Mus musculus: one gene and its partners. The protein of the gene in region 3 purifies or fractionates together with the protein of the main gene of each other region. This does not show direct contact. Links are inferred from orthologs where the notes say so. Each region holds a gene or a part of one and is shown on either strand. Other genes may lie near its edges.

Region 1 (4,046 bases), on a different chromosome or scaffold from region 3:
ATGTTTTATCTGATGGTAGAGAGAAATATTAATCTTAAGTCTTCCAGCAAATGTAAGTTTTCTATCTGCAAATGAAGCAGATGGGAATGAAAGTTAAAGATGCGACAGATTCCCTTGATTAAAATTCTAAAGTCACTGAATGTTAAGGCTAAAGGCAGTTTAGATCCCAGAATGACTGTGATGAGACTCAAGCCCCAAGATGTACTCAAGTCCGAGGCCCCTCCAAGGCCAGGATGTCACAAAGTCACTAAGAAAACATTCAAGGCTCCGATCCCAACAGTTCTGCCCAGACTCAGCCTTTTTGTTTTTTTATTTTGTTTTGAGACAGGGTCTAATGAAATAATCCTGGCTGTCCTGGAACTCACTTTGTAGACCAGGCTGGCCTCTACAGAGATCTGCCTGCTTTCTCCCCACCCCACCCTACTTGTGCTGGGATTACAGCCTTGCAACACCATGCTCAGTTCAGGCTCAGCGTCTAAACCTGGCATTTTGCACACAACATAAGTGAGACAGTTGTTAGGAGACAAAAGTTATCTAAAAGCTTAAAAACACACACTCAGGTCCACATGAATGCCACTGGTAGGATTTGCAATCCTCCCATAATAGACCTAAGAAAACCTATCCCTTAGCTGGGTGATGGTAGTGCTGATCGCACACACCTTTAATCCCAGCATTCAGGAGGCAGAAGTAGAGGCAGGTAGATCTCTCTGAGTTCAAGACCAGCCTGGTCTATGGAGCAAGCTCCGGAACAGTCAGGGCTACACAGAGAAACCCCACGAAAGAAAGAAAGAAAGAAAGAAAGAAAGAGAGAGAGAGAGAGAGAGAGAGAGAGAGAGAGGAAGGAAGGAAGGAAGGAAGGAAGGGAGAGAGAGAGAGAGAGAGAGAGAGAAAGAGAAAGAGAGGAAAAAAAAAAGAAGGGAAAAAAAGAAAGCTTGTCCCAAAATAGTTACAGTCACATTCTGGAGTAGCTTGGGACATCTGCTTTGTGACAATTACTAGATGGATTAAGGAGACTGGAGGAATAAGGAAGAGAAGGACAAATGTCCCCTCTGATACCTTGTGTCTGCTTAGGTCACCCTAAAATAGGGAGTCTCCCTAATGCTGACTTTAATAAGACCTTCCTAAAGCTGGTCCAACTGGTGTTCAAGTCCTTGGACTGAAAAACAAGTTTATGAGCAGCAAGGTCACCTGACTTTGACTGTGTGAACACTGTTTATCCAGATGACAGTGGCTGCCACAGCTTTGAAGAGAGCTGCGCAGACTCTGCTGTCCCTTTGAAGCTTCCTGATGCCTCTCCTTGTCTCAGTGCCATAAAAAGGAACCTCAACCTCGAAAACAAGGGAAGTCACAAACACCACATGCTAGCAGGGGAAACCCCACTTGCCCTTTGAATTGTTAATGTAACCTTGTTACTTACAACCCCGATCTATGACTATCTAATTACAATACAAAAAAAAGTGCCCTCCGCTCCACCTATAATGTGCCCACTGCTCTCAAAGCCCACTCACTGTTCAGACCAGATCGTGTCTCTAGTCAGAGGAGTGGTAGCCCGGATCCAAGTAGGTCAGCAGGCTAATATCAGTCCCTGATACTAGTTCAGGAGCTTCAAACACTGACAACGGGGAACATCAGTCCTATGTTGAGGAGGGAAAGGGATAGTTAAGTAGGCTTACCCATCTCTTCCTTTGCTGACAATCTTTACTTCAAAATAGTAAATACCACAGGCTGCTGGGATGGGGTGGGTGGCACGTACAGAGGCTGCATCTTTGTGATTTTTGCCATGACCTGATGTAAGAAGCCAAGGAAGGAATGTCAACACCAGAAAAACGCAAATGAAGGCCTCCTTTTTCTCTACGCCATGGTAAATTCAACCCTCCCTGGCCAGAAGAAGTTCTTGTACTCTCTGAGGAATAATAAGACAACTGAGTAAACACTTAAGCCTCCCGCCTTTAGATCATCTCCACCCCAGACCAACAGTCCTGACAGAGATATTGTCCTCCACAACAAACAAAACAAGGTAGATACAGGCAACAGAAGTGTGTGAGAGACACTGAATACTGTTGTCCGTCTCTCCAGAATCCAAACAGCCCAGCCTGGAGCCCAGGGGAAGGAAGTGGCAAAAATGGAAGTCACCAACAACAACTTTAGCACACAGCGCCTAGCCCAGTCCCGGGATGACTGGCAGCCAGGCAGCCCATGCACTTACTGTGGCAATGTTACCACCTCTTTTTGCAAAAAAAAGACTGAAACTAAGCCGTGGTAAAGGGCCTAGCATAAATTGGAGCCAGCTCAGGAAAGAAGGGTGGCCCTGAAGTGGAAGGTCCTGTCTAGTTTTGGACATTTAATGCAGTTGTCTCTGAGTCTAATATTTAGGAACAGAGCAAAGGAAGCAGGGTAAACCCCGGCCTGACCAACCCCTCTACTCTGGACGTTCCGCTGGGCTAAGGCCCAACTCTCAGAAAACCCGGGCAAAGAAAGGGAAAATGGGCACAGCCTCCCTGCAGACGCAGTAAACTTGTCTCCCAGCGGCCAGACCCGCTGATACCTTTGTAATGGACACGGAGGTTTCCCTGGGAGAGGCCGATGTAGTTGTACTTGTCCTTGGGGCTCCAGGAGCGCGGCAGCGGCGTCTCGTGCTGATTAACCGCAGGGTACAAGCGCTGCAGGCGCCGACTCAGTTCCTGCTCTCCAGGTGACGGTAGCCCGCCCCCGGAGTCCCCACCGGAGGAGTCCCCAGCCTGCGGGTTCCCAGCTCCCGGGTCTGCCGTCGCCGCCGCCATCTTGGAGGGAGCTGCTATTGTGTCACTGGGGGCGGGGAGGAGTGCAACCAGATTTGCCTTGCTCAGCCAATGGGCCGTGAGCATCCCAGGGTCGTAGGGAAACTGAGTCCGAGTCCCGGCAACCTTTCTCTGGACACTACTATACTTCGCCAGATTTAGACTACATATCCCACAATGCATAGCGCTGTAGAAGCCGGCCAACGAGGGTTCCTGGAGAACTTCGGAAGATGTAGTACATCACTGCTCACTCACAAGCCAGTACAACGAAGACTCCGAACCACTGAGAACTACCATTCCCGACTGGCCAAGTGGCCAGACCTCGAAGCTCGCCTTCCTCGTCCACGGTCTCACTTTATTCTTCTGCCTCAGTTCTGTAGCTAATATCAAATTTGCTGTATTGACTGGTTCTCAGAATACCCCATCCCCAGCTCCAGGTCTACTTTTACTGCTTGGCCTTTCTCCAGAGTGCTCACGGGGGCGGGGGCTGGAGGCGTGGCTCAACTGTGAGCCCGCCCTCAACGCAGAGGCTGCTGGGGTCTGGTCCCTATGGCAACGGACTGTACACTACCGCAACGGCTCAATCCTGCATCTGCTCCAAAGTCATGGCCAACCTACAGGAGCGTAAAAGTTTCTCCAAGCCAAGGTAGCACCTGGCCGGGCTGAGGGCGGGGAAGACTTGAATATTTCCAAAAAGAAAAATGACACTGATTCCGATCGCTGCACTGTCTGTTCTTTGGGTAGGACTTCAGCGCCGCAGAATCAGCGATACAGTTGTAATAGAATTGGGGCTGACTCGTCAGTCCAGTAAGAACGTTACAAGCTGCCAAAAGTGCAGGTGTACTTTATCGTAGATAGATGATCTTAGCTAGACACTAAAAAACGAAGTGCCTTATTATAATTATATGTGAAATTCTCACAACTCCTGTTTATAAGAAGCATTCAGTTTCCCACCTGCTCATTCCCAGTAGTGGAAGAAGGGCGAGAGAGGTGATTTCATTCTCAACTCTAATCTTTCAAGGTCTGCTGCCTTGGTAGAAAAAGGCTACAAAAGGACAGCCTGTTGAACAGTGAGAGTTGCAGGACAGTCAGGGCTATATGGAGAGACCCATCTTAAAATAAATGAATTAAAATAATAATAATAAGCCTACAGAGGTTCCAAGGACAGAAAATACCAATGTTATGATTGTCCCTGAAGGAAAAAAAAAGTCTCCGAGAAACAGGCAGCAGCAGGTTGAAAGAGACAACTGTTTCCCATCAAAGGCATAA
Region 2 (3,806 bases), on a different chromosome or scaffold from region 3:
AATACCAAATGGCATCTTCACATCCAGAAAAGAGATCCTGTGAAAGCCTAAATTGTTAAGACTCCTGTTCTGGTCAGACTCTTACATGAGCCTGTTCTCTCTTGGAATCTTATAAGAGGAAATAAGTTAAGATCCCAGGGAAGTGAAATTTGCAGAAATGTGCAAGGACTGGATAACCACGCAAGTATCGAAAGCAGCTCGATGGGAGTCTAGACAGGCAGGAAGAACTATGGAGCACTCACCTAACTGTTGCTTGAGCTTGTTACTTTTTCCTATGCTTCCCAATAGCAGAAAGAAAGCTCTAGCATTTGGAGCCTCCTGCACGAGCAAATGGGGATAAAGCCCCGTTGAACAGCTCTGCAGCGCATGTGACCACCACAGTTATGTTTATTATTGCGTATGAGACGAGTTGTGAATTTTAATCTTTTAACTCGGTAGTTCTCATATTGTCAATGAATAACAAGCGCCTCAGGAGTTTTAAAAATAAATTGATGGGCTGTTGGATTCTTATTTTTAGTTATAAAACCTTTATTATTTTTAGCAAGAATAATGCGTGTTCATTTTAGGAATATGGCAAATACAAATAAGCAGAAGAAAAATCATTCATCTTTCACAAGTTTATATGTGCATATATGTAACATACAAAGGTACTCCTGTCTTTCAAAATATGATATTCCCATATTATTTTGTAACCTTTTCTCATTTTGTATCCCATCAGAAGCTCATTTTGTTATTCTTTTTTTTCTTTTTTTTTTACAAATCAGTAAAGCTTAAAGCCAGAGACTTATAGATTGGTTCAAATATAATCAACAGTAAGATACAGACAACAAGAGATACAGCTAAAGCCACTAACAGCAACAGATTCAAAGTAGGAAGATGGGCAAAGGTCTTATCAGGAAAATGCTAATGAAAAGAAAGCTAGATCGCAATGGTAACATCAGATAAAAGGGAAAGCAAGCCAAGCTACATTAAATAGGGGTAAGGATGGCTTCGGTTAGCCTTCCAACGCGTCACTATAAGTTTGTTTCTCACTTTCCTGATCTCATCTAGCTCCTCCACATCTCTAAACAGATCATCACTGCTCAGGTGCCTGTTGTGTATATCCTCCTGAAAATCCTGCAGAGACCGGATCAGCCTCTCCCGAAAAGTTTCTTCGGATTTCTCCTCCTCCTCGGGTTCCTGCCCCTCCTCGGGCTTTTCCTCCGGCTTTGGCTCTTCCTCAGGCTTTGGCTCATCCTCCTTTTCTAGGTTTCCTTCCATTTTTTGGCAGGGTTTCATCTTGTGTCTGCTTCTCTTCTTTGCTGCTTCCTGCAGAATACGGGAATGCAATGATTTCTAGGAAGCGAGGGGGGAGGGGAGGGGGAGGGGGAGGAGGAGGAGGAGGAGGAGGAGGAGGTGGTGGTAGATGGAAGACTTGGTAGATGGGCAGGTGCTGTGCACAAAGGTCTCCTCACCGTTTGCTTACGCCCTCCCCATCCCACCCCCCCTCCGTCCACTCTTGCCCCCTCCCGCTCTCCCTCTCCCCACTTCCCTCTTTCCCCTCCTCTCTTCCCCCCACCCTCGTTCGGTCTAACTGCCCTCACCAGATACCTTCCACCTGAGAAACCCAGTCCGCAATCAAGGTTTCCCTGTCCCCGCCCCTCTTACCTCCATTTTCCACCCCCTCCCCTCTCTAGTCCCTCCCTCCAGCATTTTCCAAGGCCTTCCTTCCCGCCTCCCGCCCCAGCCCTCCACAAATCTTTCTCCCTCCCAGGCCTAACACAGGCCCCTCCGAAAGGGGTGGGGGGAAGGGAGAGGGGACTGGGGCCTTCAGCCTCTGCAGGCCTTCACCGACCCATATCCTGGGGGAGTCTTTTATAAAGTTCCCCCTCACTTACCAGGTACAGATCTGGTCGATTTCTTTTTCCTACTTATTTTAGCCTGGTGCGGTACAAAGAACAAACCTGCAGGCAAACGGAGAAGGGAGGGGATGTTGGGGGTGGGGCAAGCAAGCCCTCGGTGCTCAGCAGAGCACTACCACGGACCCAGCTCGCCGAGCTCTCCGCATTTAAGGGCTTGCTTATGGAAGTTTCCCACCCTTTGTTTCCCAAAGGACTCCTCCTTCCCACCCCGCAAGTTAGCCTGTCTTTCTCACCAGACAGAGGGTAAAAAGGAGCTATTCTTCCCCAACTATCTGTAGATCCGAGACGAGGTTTGGGAAGCAAAGTGGGGGTCCAAAATCTCAGAGTATGATTATTTTGGAATCGTCACAGCCCCCCTTGTTTTCTCTTGGGACCCCCTAGTCGTTTCACAAGTGTCCTTTCCTGAAGAATTAAAGGTACGAGGTGGAGGGACAGACTTAACCAGGACTCAAGTCACTACCCTAGACCACTGTAAACTACAAAAATCCTTGGCAGTAACGGCTTAAAACACTAACCTGATGAATTGAAGCAAGCTGTCTCTTCTGGCCGCTGGCCTCTCGCACCACCGTCTGCAAGGCTAAAGGGAGCTGGTACCCAGATGGAAACAAGGACCAGACTAGCAGGATTTCTGCACACGTCGACTCCTGGTCACATGAGATCTACGTCACCAGTGAGGTCCGGTCCCCGATCTCCACTCCCACAAAAAGCGCGGCAGATGTGGCCCCGCCCTCCGCTCCCATCTACCACCCCCTCTCTAAACATTCATTTGGCCTTGTCAGTCTTTTCTGGAGGAAGAAAAAAAAAGAATGTGCGGATTGGTTTTATTGTTGTTGTTCTTTTTGCAGCTCTCTGATTACTAAAGAGGAGCGTCATATTTTTTGAAGCTACGGAACTTTTCGGCTTCTTTTAATAATAGGCTCTTCCTGTCTCACGCTCCTAACTGCCAGTACCACTCACCCCCCACCTAGCTTTCCTTAGCCCCTCCTCCTTCATCTGAAACGCACTCCTTTGTTGTGGAGCCAGGTAGGTAGGTCAGAAAGCAGTGGGAGAGGGGGAATCTTGAAATAGAAGTGGGATTTTTCTTTAAGGCAACTTAAACTTTATTCTTAATACGTCTGTAGTCTTTTCGAAAGTAATGTTGTTTTACAGTCAGAAGTGACAGCCAAATTACTTTAGATACATTTGTGAATTCATACATGTTCATTTCTTATACTAGTGCCTAGTGTTTTTTAGTAAATGCATTCAAAGTATATGCCTTTACATTTTTTATTATATTGTGGTGTTACTTGGGGGAATTATTTAAAAAGAAGAAAAATCATGTTTAACTCTAGAGGCCTGCTGGTGGTATTATTACCAAGAAGTGGTGTCGCCTGAAGAATCGCTGCTTCAACACTTGCCAGCATAGATTGTTCGAAAACAGTCGCCTCATCTTAAAGAAAGTAACACTTTATATACACCACGAATTGTTGGACTGTCTTAACAATATGTGTCTGCTCTAAATCGCTTAGCTCATAGAAAACTTTCAACATTTACTTATTCCCATTTTATTTCATATATATGCATATCTCACTCACGCTGGAGTGAGACTGGATATAGTATAATTATGTTCCCCTTTAACAGGAGGACTCTAGCTTCTTTATCTTGTACTTGACTTTAAATTAAACTTTAAACTTGACTAGTCAAGTTGCTAGTTTTATGATGATGATGGTTGCTTGGGTTAAGGACTTAAAAGCCTCTATAGGTGAAAGTATTGGCTGCTCACTTGGTTACATATACCTAGTAAGTGTCTAAAATGTCTAAAAAATATATTTTAAAACTTGGCATTGCTGCTTTCAAACTGTATCTTCTGTTTGGTCATCTTAACCTTTGAGTCAGATTTCTGCTCAATTTTACATGTAGACATAG
Region 3 (4,036 bases):
TTCCTAGAAGATGTATTGCCCGAGTTTCTGGGTGAGGTATAGCTCACACATATAGAGACTATTGTACAATTGTCAATGCTTTTGTGTGCTATATACAATTACAATTTGCCTGGTTGTAGCAGGCATACTAGGACGTGATTTTAGGTGTTACATGGGTGGACAGATGAACATTTAAATGTATTTATGAATGGTAATATGTACTAGAATAAAAAAGAATACAACACATTTGATTTCACAGACTTGATTTAGGACAAGGCTAACAATCTTAAATGGGCTCAATCTGGCTTTAAATAAAATTACTGAATGAGTAATAATTCCTGTGTAAAGAGTGGGAAAGACTGTAGTTACAGAGCTTAGGATATACCGCTACAGCACCAGGGTTCTCTTAAACTTCCAGGCTTTCAGAAGTGCAACACTTTGTAAGAGACTTATAAGCAAGGGTGATAAGTGATACAATAAATGTAGACATTAAAGTACAGGAGGAAATGAGAAACAATGGGAGAGATATGCTTTTACTTAAAGAGCACTGGGAGGTGAGTGGAGTTGAGGTAACAACCTGAATTAGGGATGGCTTTACTTTCAGAATATTTTAGTAGGAAACATTCACATAGTTTAATTCTCCATCCCCCATTTGACCTAAAGGCTGGAAATAATTCTAACACACAGACAACGTAAGGCTTTCCACATTCCAGGCATTTTTGTTGTTGTTGTTGTTGTTTATTGGGCCATTTATTCTCATTAGTCCTTATTTTACAGTCGGGAGAAGTGAAATAAATATAAAGAGGCTAAGAACCTTTCCAAAATATTGGCACTAACGAAAAGCAGCTAGGATTAAATCCAGGCGTCCTGGCTGTGGAGAACCCGTTCTTACCAATATACCAGAGTAAGTGGGTCGGGCACGCAACGCTAAATAAAGCAGGTCATAGTTAACTGTTGAAGCGTGAGGCGATTTTCATTGCAGGCAGAAGACCTAGTTTTGAGACCAGTTTCTCCAGCTTTAAGAGGGAGAGAATACTGAAACTAGGGAATGGTGTAGAGTGAGATAATGAATGTGAAAGTGAACTTCAGACTCCGTAGATAGTAACTCCACCTACTAGCGGTTAGGAAAGAAAACCTGTAAACTGAAATTTAAGAGTGCGGACAGCTCGTCGAGCCAGGGTGAGGCTCCGCCCCCCACCCGCGGAAGGTGGGGCAGGCAGGCTTCTGCGCATGCGGAGGCCGCTGCCCGCGCCCACCTCTGACCCCAGCCGAGAGTAGCTGCTGTTTCTGAGAGGACGATTCGTAAGCCGGGGTCCGGCGCGGTTTCCCAATCCCTCGCCCTTCTGCCCAGCCCCTTCGGTGCTCGAGCGACGCCTGGGGCGCGGTCTGTTCTGGGCAGCTTGCCTGGGCTTTCTACAGAGGCTCCGGCTGCAGGTCACATAGGTGGCTGTCGAAAGTGCCGGCCGCGCGCCGGCGCCGGCAGCAGCCGGGTGGGAAGGCTCAAGATGGCGTGCCTGTTGGAGACCCCAATCCGCATGAGCGTCCTCTCGGTGAGTGACCCGCCCGGCGCGGGGCAACCCCGGTCCTGCCCACAGCATTACCCCGGCGCCCTGAGCCTCCCGAGCACCACCCACTGCGGTGGCCTCAGCTGGGATGCACGCGACCCGGGCCGAGTCGGAGGCGTCTCCTACTCGAGAGCTCCCACCGGTGCGGGTTCCCAGGACGGCGGCCGTTCGGCCGGCGGGGAGGTCGGGCTCCAGGCAGCCGGCCCATGGGCGCGGCTTGGGTTTGGCCGAGCCTTCTCCCGTCTTCCTCCCTGCGCTGTTGCTTCTCGGGACGGAGCTCGCTGCCTGCGAGGGTTCAGGACAGGCCTGGAACCTAGAGTCCACTTCGCTCTCCAGGGCTGTGGCTAGAAGAGGTGCGAACTCTTAAGCTGCCACAGCACAGAGCTGCCAGACCAGGGCTGTGCGTCTTCTGTCAAGTCCCTACCACCAGGGCACCTGCCAACACCGCTTGCTTCTTGGCAATGGAGGTTTTCACATCAGCTGCAACTCGCGCTATTGTGTATGGTTATTTAAACCGCTTTGCTGTGCTCTGCTGTTGAGGTCCGGGCTCCGAGACTAGAGAAACTATGTTTCTAATGTCCGGTGTTTGATTTTTCTTTAGGGAGAGCAAAACATTTTAGGAGGGACCAAAAAGTCGGAATGAAAAAGAATAGGTTCCCCCAGTATTTGAAAGAAGGGAACGTATTGATATACCTAGAAGAAATATCAGGGTTTTTTTTTTCTTAAATTAAAAAGAAACAACAAAAAGCAAAGAAGGCGACTTTCGCCTTCCGCTATAATGTCCTTTAAACAAACAAACAAAAACAAAAAACAGGACCAGGAATGAAATGAACAAGAATGAGTGTTGTTGGGAGATAACTCTGGGAGGTTTGACCACAGATTTTAGCAGTTGGACTCCAAATAGAGCCTACCAATGATTCAGTTGTTGTTGGAAGTAAAGAAATAGGCGGGCAAAGAATCATCTTTTAGACCTGTGGAGACTTACCGAGATGGCAGTTGGATTATAGATGGCTTGTCAGATTCCCTATAGTCTTGCAACTCCAACCGGTTTCTTTCCTCTTCCCTGACTCTCACACAAACACACTTTTGTGTTCAAAGGCACTAGGTACATCACTCCAGTCAGGGCTGGTTAGAGCCATGCTGGCTACCCAAAAAGACAGAAGTCACTCTACAGTGCAAAATGCAATTTTGGAAGACGGTCAACAAATCTAGCCCCAGATCCGTCTTACTAAACTGTTTACTTAAACTGCAACTGGAGAAGTACTTTCTGTCCAATTACTGATCACATTAGCTCATTATTTCACTTTATATTGTCCATGAATGTTTAGTGGGAGAATAAACCGATGACTTCTCTCTTTGCATTAAAAGGAGAAAAGAATGTATCGTAACTGCTCAGTTTCTTTCTGATTGTGCCATTTAGGTTGCACTTATCCTATAGTTCACCTGAAAAGACGTGTGCGAGTGCACATACACACACATAGGTGATCAATCCCAGACCTTTGAGCACGCTTGAAAAATGCTGTTCCAAAATATTGCTCTGGCCTCACGTGTGGTTTCTTTGCCTTTTGTATATTGTCAGCTTGTATAGTGGATATAGTTGAAAACTTCATTTGTCTCACACTCCCAATAAATGATTATGTTCTGTTTATTTCACTCGAAAACTTGTTGAAGAATATTTTCCATTTTGAGTTAGACTTTTCTTTAGCATTTGGAAGCAGAAACTAACTCTAAAGTCTTGTTTTCTAATTCTTCCACCTTAGGGCCTTGGAATAGGCAGAGCTTTAGACACATGATTTAAAATGTCTGAACTTGGTGATTTTCCCAGTTTAAAGGAAAGGTTCTAACTTTCAACCAGCTAACCAAAGCTTATATATATTTATATTTATATTTATATTTATTTATTTATATATATTTATATCAGTTATTAGTTAGAAGTTATTGGAAGTTGAGGAGATGGCTCAGTAGGTAGATCTCTTGCTTCACAGCAGGTCTTGAGTTAGGATCCCATTACCTACATAAAAAGCTGTGTGTGGCAGTGCATGTCATTGGGAGGTAGATCATGGAGGGTTTCCGGCCAGTTTGTCTAGTCAGAACAGGGAGCTTCAGGTTCAGTGAGAGACCCTGTTTCCTTTTTTTTTTTTTTTTGAGACAGGGTTTCTCTGTGTAGCCCTGGCTGTCCTGGAACTCACTTTGTAGACCAGGCTGGCCTCGAACTCAGAAATCCGCCTGCCTCTGCCTCCCGAGTGCTGGGATCAAAGGCGTGCGCCACCACGCCTGGCTGATGAGACCCTGTTTCAAAAAGTAAGATAGAAACAGGAAGGTGCCAGACCTTGACCTCTGACACATAGTTGGTTGAATCCTCTAATAAGCTACTTACTGTGTCCTAGTGAAGCATAAAGCATAAAGCCCTGTATTGTGTACTTTAGCAATGCAAGGGCATCAGAAATGCTCTGAAGGAGTTCACAGTTCTGATCACACTAGAGCTGTAAGTT

The links. The genes of interacting proteins can lie anywhere in the genome.
Region 1: the proteins of Armc8 (region 3) and Ranbp10 purify together in Homo sapiens (affinity purification with mass spectrometry; 5 studies listed by BioGRID and IntAct, with this or other methods). This does not show direct contact. The link is inferred for Mus musculus from reciprocal best matches to the Homo sapiens genes ARMC8 and RANBP10.
Region 2: the proteins of Armc8 (region 3) and Tceal9 purify together in Homo sapiens (affinity purification with mass spectrometry; 3 studies listed by BioGRID and IntAct, with this or other methods). This does not show direct contact. The link is inferred for Mus musculus from reciprocal best matches to the Homo sapiens genes ARMC8 and TCEAL9.

What each region holds. Positions count from the first base shown.
Region 1 is NC_000074.6:105,824,405-105,828,450, forward strand, and holds the start of Ranbp10 (ran-binding protein 10), read right to left. Parts: upstream 2,805-4,046; 5' UTR 2,781-2,804; coding exon 2,546-2,780; intron 1,786-2,545; coding exon 1,674-1,785; intron 1-1,673. Other genes in the region: Tsnaxip1 (translin-associated factor X-interacting protein 1), read left to right, coding at 3,383-3,423. UniProt on the Homo sapiens protein: May act as an adapter protein to couple membrane receptors to intracellular signaling pathways.
Region 2 is NC_000086.7:136,243,838-136,247,643, reverse strand, and holds Tceal9 (transcription elongation factor A protein-like 9), read right to left. Parts: upstream 2,565-3,806; 5' UTR 2,417-2,564; intron 1,944-2,416; 5' UTR 1,878-1,943; intron 1,309-1,877; 5' UTR 1,279-1,308; coding exon 964-1,278; 3' UTR 505-963; downstream 1-504. UniProt on the Homo sapiens protein: May be involved in transcriptional regulation.
Region 3 is NC_000075.6:99,566,095-99,570,130, reverse strand, and holds the start of Armc8 (armadillo repeat-containing protein 8), read left to right. Parts: upstream 1-1,231; 5' UTR 1,232-1,484; coding exon 1,485-1,529; intron 1,530-4,036. UniProt on the Homo sapiens protein: Component of the CTLH E3 ubiquitin-protein ligase complex that selectively accepts ubiquitin from UBE2H and mediates ubiquitination and subsequent proteasomal degradation of the transcription factor HBP1.